2 linked regions of the Saccharomyces cerevisiae S288C genome follow. The gene in region 1 interacts genetically with each later gene. Each region holds a gene or a part of one and is shown in the gene's direction. Other genes may lie near its edges.

Region 1 (8,961 bases):
AAATAGGGAAAAGAAAACCTGCTAAAAGTTGGTTCCATAGTAATGGCGGGTACGGTGAGGTATTAAGGCAAGAAAAATGTTCTATTTGTGAATCTGATTTGTATACTGATCCTGGCCCCAATGATCTTGATCTGTGGTTACATGCCTATCTATACGAATCAACTGAGACTGAAGAAGGAACCGAAAAGAAAAAGTGGTGCTACAAAACAGAGTATCCAGAATGGGCTCTGAGAAGATAGAGGTTCCTGACTTGTCGGACAATAATACATAGAAAACTGGTCTTCTGTTATAATCAGTCATTGGCCAATCAAAAATGACAGTAACAGAACATCACGCTACAATCTTAATCTTAATTTATAAAAAAGCTAAAATCTTTACAGGAGGAAGACAATGAGATGTGAAGAATGACCACTTCTCCTTTTCTTTTCCATTTCTTTTCTTCCACACTCCTAGTATTCCCGGTAGTATTCTTTTCGCAACCTAAAATTTCACGTAGCAGAGAAAATCGGAGTCTTGAAAGTGTTAACCATAAAATTTCATTGATAAAATGATCTTCGAGGCTTTCTGCTATCCAAATCCACGTTTCTTTTTATTTATTTATTAAAAACCATAAAGTAAAAACTTTGTTAAGGCTTGGAAGCGACCGAGCGCAGACCGCTTGTGTCATCGATTACTCAGATAGGAAATCTTTTATTTATCACCCGCTGAAGCACGCAGCAACAACCGGTTGACCGACGCAATTCTTTGTTTACTTTTCCTTCTACTCATGATCTTCTGTTCCATTTGCCACCCGATCGAAGAAAAAATTTTACGGCCAGTTGCTTCTTGGGCGTAAGGCTCCGATCTTTACGAAGAAATCTTAATTTTTGCCTGAAAGCATGGCTTAAAAGCCGAAAAAGCAAAACTTAATGATTGACAGATCTTTTTTAGGAAATTTTTTGACGGTGAAAAACCCGGCTTCTAGAAAAAAAAACGATGGGAAAAAAGAACTGGAAAAAAAAAACTTTAAACTTTGCTTATGTCAAATTTAAATTTCAATTCGGAATTAACACCTGCCGCCCCCGTTTATTGTCCAGCGGGGAGTCTTTGTCGTACTTTCTTCTTTTCTTCTTCTTTCTTAATGAAGCACCTAGTTTAAGGATAAAAAAGATTATATCGCTTGTCTATGGCTTACGTAAACATTATTTCTTTGATATACTATTCCGTTAGAATGGAAGGGGGCCATATGATTCTGATTTTCTTGGCCTGGGGGGATGGAAATTTTCCTTTTAGAGCTGCCTGTACAAGACCGAGTGTTCGTTCCTCCTTTAGCATAGAAAATACGGTTATTAGATTATTGGGGCATTTGGCCTGCTTCCATCTTAACGCGAACAAATACTATTCAAGAACTTGTGCTACCTCTTGAAACCAAATGTTAAACTGTTCTGCCATATTTGAAAATAATTTCAAAGTTGTGGGAAAAATATTTTGCCATCATACGACAAACGTTTCTCTGGCTGTGACTGATAGTCGTGTAGGTCCTGTATTATCTTGCTGACAAACATCTTAAAAAGTCTTTTGGAAAAAGAAAAAAATAAACTTTCCTTCTTTTTTTTTTGGTTCCTGCGGCTCTTTCAAGGGGCTGCCAAACCTTATATTCTCCTCCTGTCATTTTAGAAGGAGAGGTAGCGGTCTTTTCTTTTTTTTCGTGCCTACACGCGCACATGACGATAAAACTGGCCCAGGCGAGATCAGATCAGCATTTGCACGTTGCATTTTACTTGTTTTCTTATTGGCAAAGAAAAAAAGCTCGGAACAAGCCACTAATACCCGATTCTATGCTTACAGAATAACCGATACTACTGGAAAGAAAAATTTTTCACATTAGTTCGCTGCATCTCCATGATCGTTTAATTATTTTATATTTAAGAGAAGCAAATCACTTCCTCCAATGTCATGATGGTCTTGGCAATTTTCCTCCCCTTGTTGCAAAAGTGTAAAATAGGTATCCACATCATTCATAAGAAAACTACTAATATCATTTTGCCTCCTATTTGCGGCCTTGCTCACAAATTCAGCGACTGCTGATAGAATTGATGACAAGGTGAGCCCTTCATTTGATCTAAGCAAAAGAGACGAAAGCGTTGCTATCAATGGTTGTCCAAATTTGGATTTCAACTGGCACATGAGCCAACAGAATATACTACATTATGATATGGATGTTACTTCCGTATCATGGGTCAAGGATAACACATACCAGATTACTATTCATGTCAAAGCCGTAAAAGATATCCCTTTGAAATATTTATGGTCTTTAAAGATTATTGGTGTCAACGGTCCCTCAAGCACCGTACAACTTTACGGCAAAAATGAGAAGACATACCTAATCAGTGATCCAACAGATTTTACATCCACTTTTCAGGTTTATGCTTACCCTTCTTCTGACGGTTGCACAGTTTGGATGCCAAATTTCCAAATCCAGTTCGAATATCTACAAGGTGATGCTGCTCAGTACTGGCAAACTTGGCAATGGGGGACAACCACCTTCGATTTATCGACAGGTTGTAACAATTATGACAATCAAGGCCACTCACAAACGGATTTCCCTGGATTTTATTGGACCTACCAGTGCAAGGGAAACAATGATGGCACTTGTACAAAAGCCTCGTCTTCATCCATTACTACTTCATCCATTACTACTTCATCCACTACTACTTCATCCACTACTACTTCATCCACTACTACTTCATCCTCTACTACTTCATCCTCTACTACTTCATCCTCTACTACTTCATCCTCTACTACTTCATCCTCTACTACTTCATCCTCTACTACTTCATCCTCTACTACTTCATCCTCTACTACTTCATCCTCTACTACTTCATCCTCTACTACTTCATCCTCTACTACTTCATCCTCTACGAAAACTTCCACTACTACGTCATCTACTGTGAAAAGCTCTTCCACTACATCCATTGATTTTACTACTTCCGTTGACTCACATACTTCATCAAGCGTAGCCGATATTTATCGTTCAAGAACATCTACTGATGTCACCACATTAGCAGCTTCAACTAGTCCTTTCAGCAGTTTCACTTCAAGTGACTCTAGTAGTTCAAGCGATGTAACCAGTTCAACCATTCAAACTACTTCTGTTGATCCAACCACTTAAGTAGTAAGTTCAAGTTCAGAAGACCCAACTAGTTCAAGCGCTGTGACTACTTCAGTTGACCCAACTACTTCAGTTGACCCAAATACTTCAGCTGATCCAACTACCTCGACCGTTCAAACTACTTCTGTTGATCCAACTACTTCAGTTGACCCAACTAGTTCTATAGTCAGTTCTACTTCAGTTGATCCAACTACTTCAGTTGACCCAACTACTTCAGCTGACCCAACTACCTCGACCGTTCAAACTACTTCAGCTGATCCAACTACTTCCGTAGTCAGTTCAAGTTCAGCTGATCTAAGTAGCTCTGTTATCAGTTCAAGTTCAGCAGACCCAACTAGTTCAAATGCTGTGACTACTTCAATTAACCCAACTACTCCAGCTGATTCAACTACTTCGGCCGTTCAAACTAGCCCAGCTGATCCAAGTAGCTCTGTTACCATTTCTACTTCCACAGACTCTACATCTTCAATTGAGTATACTACATCGGATGATCCACACGCCTCATCAAGTTTAGCGGCTATGTATCGTACAAGAAGCTCTGACGAGGTAACCACATCAACAGATCTAACTAGCTCAAGTGACGTTGCTACTTCAGTTGACCCAACTACTTCTGTTATCAGTTCAACTTCAGCAGACCCAACTACTTCAGCTGACTCAACTACCTCGACCGTTCAAACCACTTCAGCTGGTCCAAGTAACAACATCGGCAATTCCACTTTGGCCAATTCCACTACTTTTGCAGTTAGTTCCACTTCAATTGACCCAACTAGCTCGAGCGATGTGATTACTTCAACCGTTCAAACCACTTCAATTGAACCAACTACTTCTCTCGTCAGTTCAAACGATATTACTACTTCAACAAGTCTAAATATCTCTGTCGTGATTTCCACTTCCACGGACTCTACATCTTTAATTGAGTCTACTACAACAGTTGGTCCACATGCCTCATCAAGTGTTGCTGGTATGTATCGTACAAGAAGCTCTGACGAGGTAACCACATCAACAGATCCAACTAGCTCAAGTGACGTGGCTACTTCAGCAGATCCAACTAGTTCAAGCGCTGTGACTACTTTAGTTGACCCAACTACTTCTGTAGTCATTTCAACCTCAGTTGATCAAACTAGCTCAAGTGACGTTGCTACTTCAGTTGACCCAACCACTTCTGTTATCAGTTCAACTTCAGCAGACCCAACTACTTCAGCTGACTCAACTACCTCGACCGTTCAAACTACTTCAGTTGATCCAACTAGTTCTGTAGTCAGTTCCGCTCCAGTTGATCCGGCTAGTTCTGTTGTCAGTTTAACTTCATCTTACCCAACTAGCTCAAGCACTGTGACTATTTCTGCTAATTCAAACGGTTCAGCTACTTTAGCGGCTCAAACTACTTCAATTGATCCAGTTAGCTCCATCGTTAGTTCAAGCGGTGCAACTACTATCATCAGTAGCGCCTCAATTGATCCAGCTAGTTCTGTAGTTAGTTCAACTTCATCTGAACCAACCAGTTTTATTGTCAGTTCAACCTCAGTTTATTCAACCAGACCAAGTGGTCCAACTACTTCAACAGATCTAGCTACTTTCTCTGACACAATCATTCTAAGGGTTTCAACCACTTCAACCAGCCAAGATACCCAAACAGTATCATCTAGTCTAACTGATATGGTTTCCTCAACTGGTTCAGCTGATTTGAGCGTCTCATCCATTCAAAGATCTCAAGTAGACCCAAGCACTTTCGCTGTCTCGAATAGCCCAGTATATCCAACAGCTTCGACCGGATCAACTTCCACGGGCATTCCAATTGCGTCGGAAAGTCTAAGCCTTTCTAGACAGCAAGGAATTTCGGCCACTTCAAGTTCTTCGATTGTAACTTTAACCCCAGTTGATTCGGCTTCCTCGAGTAGGTCAAGCGCAACAAGTATAATCAAGCCTAATATGCCAGTTAGCAGCAATGATTCGAAGACCCAAAGTTCTGTTTCTGTAGTTGACGCATTCCAATCAACTAAATCTTCATATCCTAGCATAACTTCAGCAGACCCAACGACTCTAGCCAGTGAAAATGGTTTAGTCGGCTCATCTTCCTCAGCTCATCCAATCACATTAGATAGAACTTATGCATCAGCTCACGCAAGCGTCACCGATATTGTCAGTAGAGTTACTGACTCGACTCGCCATACAACACTAGTAACTTCAAACATTAACATTCAGTCTGAGGTTGGGAACCCAAATTACTCGGGTCCCAAAGACACTACCATCACCAAACAATCTGCATTTATGACTTCTCCTGCATCAACGTCTACTATAAGTAACGTTCAATCAACTGCTTCCGTAATGAATCACAGTATTGAGGACAATATTTCTGCAGCTGCCTCTCTAGAAAGTGTTTCTGGTACCTCAACTAAAGATTATTCTAGTCAATCCAGTGCCATTCATTATACAAATTCCTTCACGACCACCACTACTAACGCATTTATCACATCAAAGCATTCCATTGCTGCTGTATCAACAGGAGCCATTACATCATCTGCCAGCATTTCATTAATCATGGAAGGCAGCGCAAACATTGAAGCAGTAGGAAAATTGGTGTGGCTCGCTGCCGCTCTTCCTCTAGCTTTCATTTAGTCATTCTACCATCTTTCATGTCCCTACGCCATTCTCGTTCGTATACCATATAAACCAATTATAGATTTTACATAGAATAATAGTTAAATTTGATTATAGAATATCTTCGGATTCAATAAAAAATTATTATTATCAGACTCTTTCTGTCCACTCCTTGAAGTATGCAAAGTGCTTCGAGAACGCCATGACATTCGACAATTCAAAATTGAGAGAGGACTGCTAAGGAAACTCTTTGAGTTGATTATATAATCGCTATTTAATCTTTTAAAGGGGGAATACTGCTAAATTTTCATTATTGTACAACTGGAGACATGATAGGCCTGAAATGTGCCACCAAATTGCATGACCTTGCTAATGAGGTCGCTGGGTTGCGTATGCACTTTTTACCCTGCTCCGCGTCGAAACAGAACATAATACAGAGTAAAGAGGAAAGAGCGAAAATGAAAAAGTTTCTACACTCAAAAGTCAAACCTTTTTAAAAAGTGATGTTCAGATTCCTTGTTTAAGACAAATACCATTGAGGAAGGCGATTGACCCTAACGAAGTATGTCTAGGAAAAGAAGTACTAAGCCCAAGCCAGCAGCTAAAATAGCTTTGAAAAAAGAAAATGACCAGTTCCTCGAGGCATTGAAACTATACGAAGGGAAGCAATACAAAAAATCTCTCAAGCTGCTAGACGCAATTTTGAAAAAAGACGGTAGTCACGTTGATTCCTTGGCTTTAAAGGGTCTTGATTTATATTCTGTAGGTGAGAAAGATGACGCTGCTTCCTACGTGGCTAATGCCATCAGAAAAATTGAAGGCGCTTCAGCATCACCAATCTGCTGTCATGTATTAGGTATCTACATGAGAAACACCAAAGAGTACAAAGAATCTATTAAATGGTTCACGGCAGCTTTGAACAATGGGTCCACTAACAAGCAAATATATAGAGACTTAGCAACTTTGCAATCACAAATTGGCGATTTCAAAAATGCTTTAGTGTCCAGGAAAAAATATTGGGAAGCATTCCTTGGTTACCGTGCCAACTGGACATCATTGGCTGTGGCACAAGATGTGAACGGTGAGAGGCAACAAGCTATTAACACTTTATCTCAGTTTGAAAAACTCGCTGAGGGAAAAATATCTGATTCCGAGAAATATGAACACAGCGAGTGTTTAATGTACAAAAACGACATTATGTATAAAGCTGCCAGTGATAACCAAGACAAGTTACAAAATGTATTGAAACATTTGAATGATATCGAGCCATGCGTCTTTGATAAATTTGGTTTATTAGAGAGAAAAGCAACTATTTACATGAAATTGGGTCAATTGAAAGACGCGTCCATTGTTTATAGAACTCTGATCAAGAGAAATCCAGATAATTTTAAGTACTACAAATTACTGGAAGTATCCTTGGGAATCCAAGGTGACAATAAATTGAAGAAGGCTTTGTATGGAAAACTTGAACAATTTTATCCAAGATGCGAACCACCCAAATTTATTCCATTAACTTTCCTTCAAGACAAAGAAGAGCTCAGCAAAAAATTGAGAGAATATGTTTTGCCTCAATTGGAGCGCGGTGTTCCAGCAACTTTTTCCAACGTGAAACCCCTTTACCAAAGAAGGAAGTCCAAGGTTTCACCACTATTGGAGAAAATTGTCCTTGATTATTTGTCCGGATTAGATCCTACGCAGGATCCAATTCCTTTTATTTGGACCAATTATTACTTGTCTCAACATTTCCTTTTCCTTAAGGATTTTCCGAAAGCCCAAGAATATATTGATGCTGCCCTTGACCACACCCCAACTTTAGTTGAGTTTTACATCCTCAAGGCACGTATCCTGAAGCACTTAGGCCTAATGGACACAGCGGCTGGAATTTTGGAGGAAGGTAGGCAACTTGATTTGCAGGATAGATTTATCAACTGTAAAACGGTTAAGTACTTTTTAAGGGCTAACAATATCGACAAGGCGGTGGAAGTCGCGTCCCTTTTCACCAAAAACGATGATTCTGTTAATGGTATTAAGGACTTACACCTTGTGGAAGCTTCTTGGTTCATCGTAGAACAGGCAGAAGCCTATTATAGACTATACCTGGATAGAAAAAAGAAATTAGACGATTTAGCATCGCTAAAAAAAGAGGTTGAAAGTGATAAAAGCGAACAAATTGCGAATGATATCAAAGAAAACCAATGGCTTGTTCGCAAATATAAAGGTTTGGCGCTGAAAAGATTCAACGCTATTCCAAAGTTTTATAAACAATTCGAAGATGACCAGTTGGATTTCCATTCATACTGTATGAGAAAAGGTACGCCAAGAGCCTATCTGGAGATGTTAGAATGGGGAAAGGCACTTTATACCAAACCCATGTATGTTCGCGCAATGAAGGAAGCATCAAAGCTTTACTTTCAAATGCATGATGATCGCTTAAAAAGAAAGTCCGATTCTTTAGATGAAAATTCAGATGAAATCCAAAATAATGGCCAAAATAGTAGCAGCCAAAAGAAAAAAGCTAAGAAGGAAGCAGCCGCTATGAACAAACGGAAAGAAACTGAAGCCAAGAGTGTTGCTGCTTATCCGAGTGATCAAGATAACGATGTATTCGGCGAAAAGTTGATTGAAACCTCCACTCCAATGGAGGACTTCGCTACCGAATTTTATAATAACTACTCCATGCAAGTCAGAGAAGACGAAAGGGATTATATTTTGGACTTTGAATTTAACTACAGAATTGGAAAGTTAGCTTTGTGCTTTGCTTCTCTAAACAAATTCGCTAAGAGATTTGGCACCACGAGCGGTTTATTTGGTAGTATGGCCATTGTTTTGTTACATGCCACAAGAAACGACACCCCCTTTGATCCAATTTTGAAGAAAGTAGTCACGAAGAGCCTTGAAAAAGAGTATTCTGAAAATTTCCCATTAAACGAAATATCTAACAATAGCTTCGATTGGCTGAATTTCTACCAAGAAAAATTCGGTAAGAATGATATAAATGGCCTGCTATTTCTGTATCGCTATCGCGATGATGTTCCGATCGGAAGCTCTAATTTGAAAGAAATGATTATTAGCAGTCTTTCTCCCTTGGAGCCTCACTCCCAGAACGAAATTCTACAGTATTACTTGTAGCCTGCAACTCCTCAATGTGTCAATTAACTCTTACTTAATTTATGTATATATTTTTTATGTATATGCTTATATGCATGCGCATA
Region 2 (7,206 bases), on another chromosome or scaffold:
ATATTAACAACGCCGGTGTATCTGCAGAAGATGGGTGCATTTGGGGTACTTCTGGTTCGGATGTCGGCAACTGGGCTCCACTAGTGTTAGGTGCTGGTTCCACTAATGGAGAAACATACTTGTCGTTGATTCCAAACCCCAACAGTAACCAAGCTGCCAACTTTAACGTTAAAATAGTTGCATCCGATGGCGCTAACGTTCAGGGCAGCTGTGCGTATGAAGATGGCTCTTTCACCGGAGATGGTTCCGATGGTTGCACAGTTTCTGTTTTATCTGGATCTGCTGAATTTGTTTTCTATTAAGTCATTCTTCTTTTCGGTAAAAGAATGTCTTGTATTTTGATACCCTCAATTCCCCTTATTATTCTTTTTCTTCCGCTCTCTATTTATTATTATACATTGGGATTCCGTTATATTTTTCTCCTTTCAGTTCATTTTACTTCTTAAAAAGTTTCGTTGATCGCTATTATGCTATGGATTCAAAGATTTTCTTTTCTCTCTCTTCAAGGTGTACTCTGCATTACGGTTTTCTTTAGTTCGTTTATTTTTTTTTTGTTAACAAGGTGTTTGTATACATATATATAAATATATGGAAATATTATAGTGTTTATTTTGTTACTTCCTGCGAGTTGCAACAGAACTAACAAGATGCCATGCTGTTTTTTTTCATTTTTTGGCTATAAAAATAACAGTATCCTAGTCCTTGTGTTCGGCTTTAAAATGGAATTGCAAACCCCATAATTCCTTCTTCACACCGAACAAACCGCCTAGTAGTCGATTTTCAGAGACTCTAATGCTTTGAATATAAGTGAACCCTTTTTTCTTCAAAATTTCCTTAAGCGTGCTATCGAATGAGTAGACATCAATCAAGAGTTTCATGGTCTCCCCGTATTTGCCGCTGCTTCTAATATTTTTGGAGTGTAGCATAGCCCAATCAATCAAATCTTCGATAATGCCACTTTTTACATATACACGACGACAACCCACAGTAGTAACACTCATGACTAAATTTTCATCAGTACTTAATGTCATGTTAGGGGCTAACGAAATCAATGCAATGGGCGTTTCTCTATAAACGATGATATGCGTATTGTTCACCACTGGATCCTTTGTTTCATGTCTTGCCACCAAATCATTCAAATTGATGCCGAAAACTTTCTCACCTTTAGAACCAACAAGTTGGTTGATCTTCGACTTGAAATACGAGTCAGATACACGTGAGAGGAGGGTGAACAAGAAAGATGCACCAATTGCGGTGAACACTAAACCGCTGAGGACGACCTTCTTATTAATACGAGCCAGCTGGTAGAACCATCCAGCAACGGATCCTGTATTCCTTATCGGAAAGACAATTCTTGGCGTCAAGTAAATAAGCAGCCCAATGGTTAGAACAACAAGGATGACGGGATGGAAGAACAAATACTTATTAGCCAATGCCTGTTCTTGTCTGATGAAATCCGCGGACAAATTCAATGCAGCTGTACCATATTCTGGTTTCAAATTAACACTGTAAATAGTAGGAGGAGCATCAATATCAAGTGGTTTGTCTAATGATGCATCTACTTGTGGGACCGATGGGGCATTTTTATCGGACTTTCTACCCTCTTTCTTCTTTCTTTGTTGAACCGCCATTGTGCCACTCTTCCTACTCTTGTACTTTCGCTATGAAAAAATGTGCAACTGGAAGAGTCGTAATCAATCTAGAAAACTTAGTAAAAGTATGTGCTATATATCTATAAACATGAAAAGCTTTATTTGTGTGAGAGAGAAAAAAAGATGTTCTTTGGTCGTTATTCATTATAGTTTCCATAAAGAGCACGTGCGGGCGCGCTGGGTAATGCGGGTGTGAATTTTCAGTTATAGGTCAACTACAACAGCAGGTCGAGAGGGCTTCTTCAGAAAGCGAGAGGTCGTACCAGGGATGATGTTGCGGGAGCTGCTGTTGCTGCTGCTGATAATGCACCAGTGCAGTTGGACTGGGAAGAGCAAGTGGAACAGCCACCATCTGGATTTCCATTATTGGGTACATATTTGAGAGTGGACGCTCGATGCGATGTGGTCTTCGACGCCTCCGCTTCCTCTTGATGGCTACGATCCTCAGACGAGGCCGTTTGCGTCTCTTAACGTGTGTGTGTTGTATAATGGGAGAACAGGGTTGTCTCTCCTCGGTCTTGCGCTTTTTCACTCGCAATACAGCATGCCCAAGAGTGCAGAGCCTATCAATGAGATAATTGATTAGAATAGAATTTATCAGTGGGTCGACAATAATGAACCACTTGACAACGGTCTTGGCCGCACGTAAAACCTGTGTGGTGCGAGAAGCAACGAATCTGTATACAGTTGATACAGAACGTCGGATCAACAAAATGGGGCGTGATGAAGAAAAAAAGTGGCGATCCCGTGGAGGACATTGGTGCATGGATGATTCAATCATACAATTTACGACATTTAACCAAAGTTGCACTCTGATGGGCTCAACGACTGCTACTCGTGCCAATAATGAAACTGAAAAGCATGAAGCCATCACTGTTTTTTTCGTGGTCTTTCTATATATAAACAAAGCCTCTGTAAAGTTTTTTTTTTTCGCATAACAAACGCGCTTATCTGAGACATAACAACAGCCAACGACCGATGCCTGCGTGGAATAAACAATAATACGCTGCAGAGGATAAAAAGAGAGGTATCATGTCTATTTATTCTCTGCTTTTCTAATCAAATGTGTATTGTATGCTGAACCATGCCGGTTGGTTGCTTCTTCCGGTAATTGCATTCAAGTCCTGCAACTTTAAATGTCCTCTTATAAAGCAGGACGTGGCTTCAGAAACAAAAAATGTGTCGCCAAGAGAAAACAAGAACAGCTATCCAAGTCGAGCTGGGAAAGTAATCAGATTTTTGTATATGTATAGGTACTTTCTTGATCCGTAAGCTGGAACTTCTTTCATGATCTCTGTTATAGGAAAGCCAGAATAGAAAGAATCCGCCCGTAAAAAGAAAAATAAAGCAAACTCGATACAATTTCATGCAAGAAGGCCATTTGCTAATTCCAAGAGCGAGGTAAACACACAAGAAAAAATGGTCAAACCAATTATAGCTCCCAGTATCCTTGCTTCTGACTTCGCCAACTTGGGTTGCGAATGTCATAAGGTCATCAACGCCGGCGCAGATTGGTTACATATCGATGTCATGGACGGCCATTTTGTTCCAAACATTACTCTGGGCCAACCAATTGTTACCTCCCTACGTCGTTCTGTGCCACGCCCTGGCGATGCTAGCAACACAGAAAAGAAGCCCACTGCGTTCTTCGATTGTCACATGATGGTTGAAAATCCTGAAAAATGGGTCGACGATTTTGCTAAATGTGGTGCTGACCAATTTACGTTCCACTACGAGGCCACACAAGACCCTTTGCATTTAGTTAAGTTGATTAAGTCTAAGGGCATCAAAGCTGCATGCGCCATCAAACCTGGTACTTCTGTTGACGTTTTATTTGAACTAGCTCCTCATTTGGATATGGCTCTTGTTATGACTGTGGAACCTGGGTTTGGAGGCCAAAAATTCATGGAAGACATGATGCCAAAAGTGGAAACTTTGAGAGCCAAGTTCCCCCATTTGAATATCCAAGTCGATGGTGGTTTGGGCAAGGAGACCATCCCGAAAGCCGCCAAAGCCGGTGCCAACGTTATTGTCGCTGGTACCAGTGTTTTCACTGCAGCTGACCCGCACGATGTTATCTCCTTCATGAAAGAAGAAGTCTCGAAGGAATTGCGTTCTAGAGATTTGCTAGATTAGTTGTACATATGCGGCATTTCTTATATTTATACTCTCTATACTATACGATATGGTATTTTTTTCTCGTTTTGATCTCCTAATATACATAAACCGAGCCATTCCTACTATACAAGATACGTAAGTGCCTAACTCATGGGAAAAATGGGCCGCCCAGGGTGGTGCCTTGTCCGTTTTCGATGATCAATCCCTGGGATGCAGTATCGTCAATGACACTCCATAAGGCTTCCTTAACCAAAGTCAAAGAACTCTTCTTTTCATTCTCTTTCACTTTCTTACCGCCATCTAGATCAATATCCATTTCGTCTTCTAGCTTAGCGCTTGCGTCAACCAATAATTTTCTCTGTGTAGCATATTTTAAGTTTCTCTCGATTTTCTTAGCTCTCTTTTTGGAAAGTGTCCTCGTGGTGATGGAGGCCGGAGAAGATGAAGCATTTTGTAATGTCACAGCAGTGGAATTCTGACTTTCGTTCTTCTTGTTTTGGAAGTATAGGTCCAACGCTACTGATTTTATTTCCCCAGATTTCGAATTTACGCTGGATCTAGCTGGCTTCAAGAGACCAGCTCTTTCTCTTTGAGCTCTTTTCTTATTTAAAGAGTGCACCTTGTGGTGCAAATTTGAAGTCAGCTTAGGTCTGTTGATGGAGTTTTTAGAAGGCATTATGGGTTGGCTGTGCTAGTCTCTTCGGCAAGCACCTCATCGACTAATGCCGCCATAAGTTATAACCATATATTAATATTGATACTCTCTATGAAAATTTTAGCGAAAAAAAATTTTGCGATGAGATCATTCCAAACGGATTGACGCGTGGAAGAAACCGGCGATTTTCTGGTTTCTGGTTCTTTGATGGAAGTTGGACGAGACGGTGAAGAATAGAACAAGGGACAGGTTAACTAGACTCAATCGATTAAAAACATACATACTACCAGGGCAAAATGTCTGAAAATAAGAACTCTGAGGCTGAAGACGTATTTGAATTTTTAGATTCTTTGCCAGAAGCAAAGAATGGCGGGAAAATGGTTAATACTGACGTAAAGGGTAGCCAAGAAGGCGTTAAGGGAGGTTCTAATTCTGTGGCGGGCAAGACCGGGAATGATGGAAAGAAAGGTGACGATGATATCTTTGAATTCTTAGAAGAGTTGGAGAAGAGTAACTTAAGCTTAACTGACAAGAAAGGGGTTGAAAAGAAGGCTCCCAGTGAATCAGTTAATAATAAAGCACAAGACGAAAAAGTAGAAGAATCAAAAGAAAACAAAAATTCCGAGCAGGACGCTCACGGAAAGGAAAAGGAACCACAGCAGCAGGAGAAAGAAGAAGAAGAGGAGGAAGAAGAAGAAGAAGAAGAGGAGGAGGAGGAGACCCCATTGCATGACCCAATTGCTTCTATTTCAAACTGGTGGTCCTCCTCTGGATCCGCAAAGGTATCGAGTATTTGGAATAAAACTGCAGAACAAGCATCCCAGATCAAAAACCGACTTGCCCAAGAACAGCTTGATTTGACTTCAAAGATAAACACGAGCACGATTACTGAAATAGCCAGAAACTTACAGAAAATCGTTGTTGGTGAGACTGAAGAGGTGCTGCGAATTCATCTAGTCCATGATTTGGTTAACTATCCCTCATTACAATACAATATTGAAAGCAAGTTTGATCAAGTTCTAAGCTCACAAGTTGAGGGAGGAATCAGAATATTTGTAGATGAATGGGGCCATCCTAACAATAATGGAATTACACCTGTGGAAAAAAAGCCTTCAGTTGCAGACGGTGAGTTAGGCAACTCTAAAAAAAAATTACAGTTTAATCTATTCGACGGCAAGGTAACAGACGGTGAGAAACTGGCATTTGCAAACCTGGAAAATGCAGTCAAACTCTTCAATACTGCACATGAGGAATACCAGAAACAACAGAAAGAGGCTGATGCCACTCCAGATGACGATAGGAGTTCTATTAGCAGTAACAGCAATAAAATCAGTGATTTATTCATATCCATCTTACCAATTGCCATTCCGCAAAAACAAAAAGATGCCGACGGTGACTTTCAAGTGACCGACTCCAATACGCCAGGCAATTTCAATTTCACCCTTGTATTGAAAGACATAACTAACGATATTACCACCATAACAAGATCACAAGGATTCCCTGTCAAATGGGTCAATTGGCTAGAAGGATCCGTGGAGAAAACAGGATCAACAGCAAGTGAGGAGAGGAATAAGTCATACGATCAAAAGAAACAAAAAGAAAGTGAAGACGAAGACGAAGACGATGAGATCATTGATCCTAGTGAATGGGTAAAGGAATGGATCGAAGATGGATTAAGCTTGTCATTTGGGGTCATGGCACAGAATTATGTCATTGACCGTATGGGTCTTTGATACACTTAATACATAACATTTATAGCGTAACGATGATGTATAAAGTTACAAGCGCAGAGGAGTGGGTTCAAATTCGGCCGACTTGTTACCCGCGTTCGTTGAATAATGGAAAATATGAAAAAAATAGAGGAAGTCGTGAATATACAACGGTGTTCAGCACCTGTATTTCAATCTAGGGGAAGCCTGTATGACCAAGGGCTGATTAAATATTAGTGAAGATACAAGTAACACAGTTTAGTTATATTTTCTTTTCCTTTTCAACAGGATTGCCAACGCTGCAGTAGAGTTATACCAACATTTGCTCCGCTTTCAAAACCTATAAAAGAAAGCAGCCCTCGAATCGAATTAATTCACCAAAAATGTCTGCAAATAGCAAGGACAGAAATCAGTCCAATCAGGATGCGAAGCGACAACAGCAGAATTTCCCAAAGAAGATTTCAGAAGGTGAGGCCGATTTATATCTCGACCAGTATAACTTCACTACCACCGCTGCTATTGTAAGCTCAGTAGACCGTAAAATCTTCGTTCTTTTGCGTGATGGAAGAATGCTATTCGGTGTACTAAGAACCTTTGACCAATATGCAAATTTGATACTTCAAGATTGCGTGGAGAGAATATATTTTAGCGAAGAAAACAAATACGCTGAAGAAGACCGCGGCATATTCATGATTCGTGGTGAAAATGTTGTCATGTTAGGCGAAGTAGACATCGATAAAGAAGATCAACCCCTTGAGGCCATGGAACGCATACCATTTAAGGAGGCTTGGCTGACCAAGCAAAAAAATGATGAGAAAAGGTTTAAAGAGGAAACCCACAAAGGTAAAAAAATGGCCCGCCATGGTATCGTTTACGATTTCCATAAATCTGACATGTACTAAGAAAGAAAAACACAATACTACCAACATATATCCTGGAGTAAACTCTCAAAAATTTCCACATTCAGTTTTACCTATCCGTACACTTAATCAACTGCCTTTGGAGATGGAACAATAAAAAAAATGCAAGAGAGGAGGCCGTATTTGTATATAAATTAATATATTTAAATGTA

Evidence for each region. Genes that interact genetically often act in the same process or in processes that back each other up.
Region 2: mutations in PRM7 (region 1) and RPE1 together harm fitness more than expected from each alone (negative genetic interaction), as found in Saccharomyces cerevisiae (2 studies listed by BioGRID).

What each region holds. Positions count from the first base shown.
Region 1 is NC_001136.10:378,791-387,751, reverse strand, and holds PRM7 (pheromone-regulated protein PRM7), read left to right. Parts: upstream 1-3,670; coding exon 3,671-5,767; downstream 5,768-8,961. Other genes in the region: pseudouridine synthase PUS9, read left to right, coding at 1-239; BSC1 (Bsc1p), read left to right, coding at 2,165-3,151; peptide alpha-N-acetyltransferase complex A subunit NAT1, read left to right, coding at 6,314-8,878.
Region 2 is NC_001142.9:186,956-194,161, reverse strand, and holds RPE1 (ribulose-phosphate 3-epimerase RPE1), read left to right. Parts: upstream 1-3,071; coding exon 3,072-3,788; downstream 3,789-7,206. Other genes in the region: SUN family protein NCA3, read left to right, coding at 1-302; PHO86 (Pho86p), read right to left, coding at 696-1,631; YJL118W (uncharacterized protein), read right to left, coding at 1,864-2,523; ALB1 (Alb1p), read right to left, coding at 3,919-4,446; DUF5427 domain-containing protein MTC1, read left to right, coding at 4,722-6,158; LSM1 (Lsm1p), read left to right, coding at 6,518-7,036.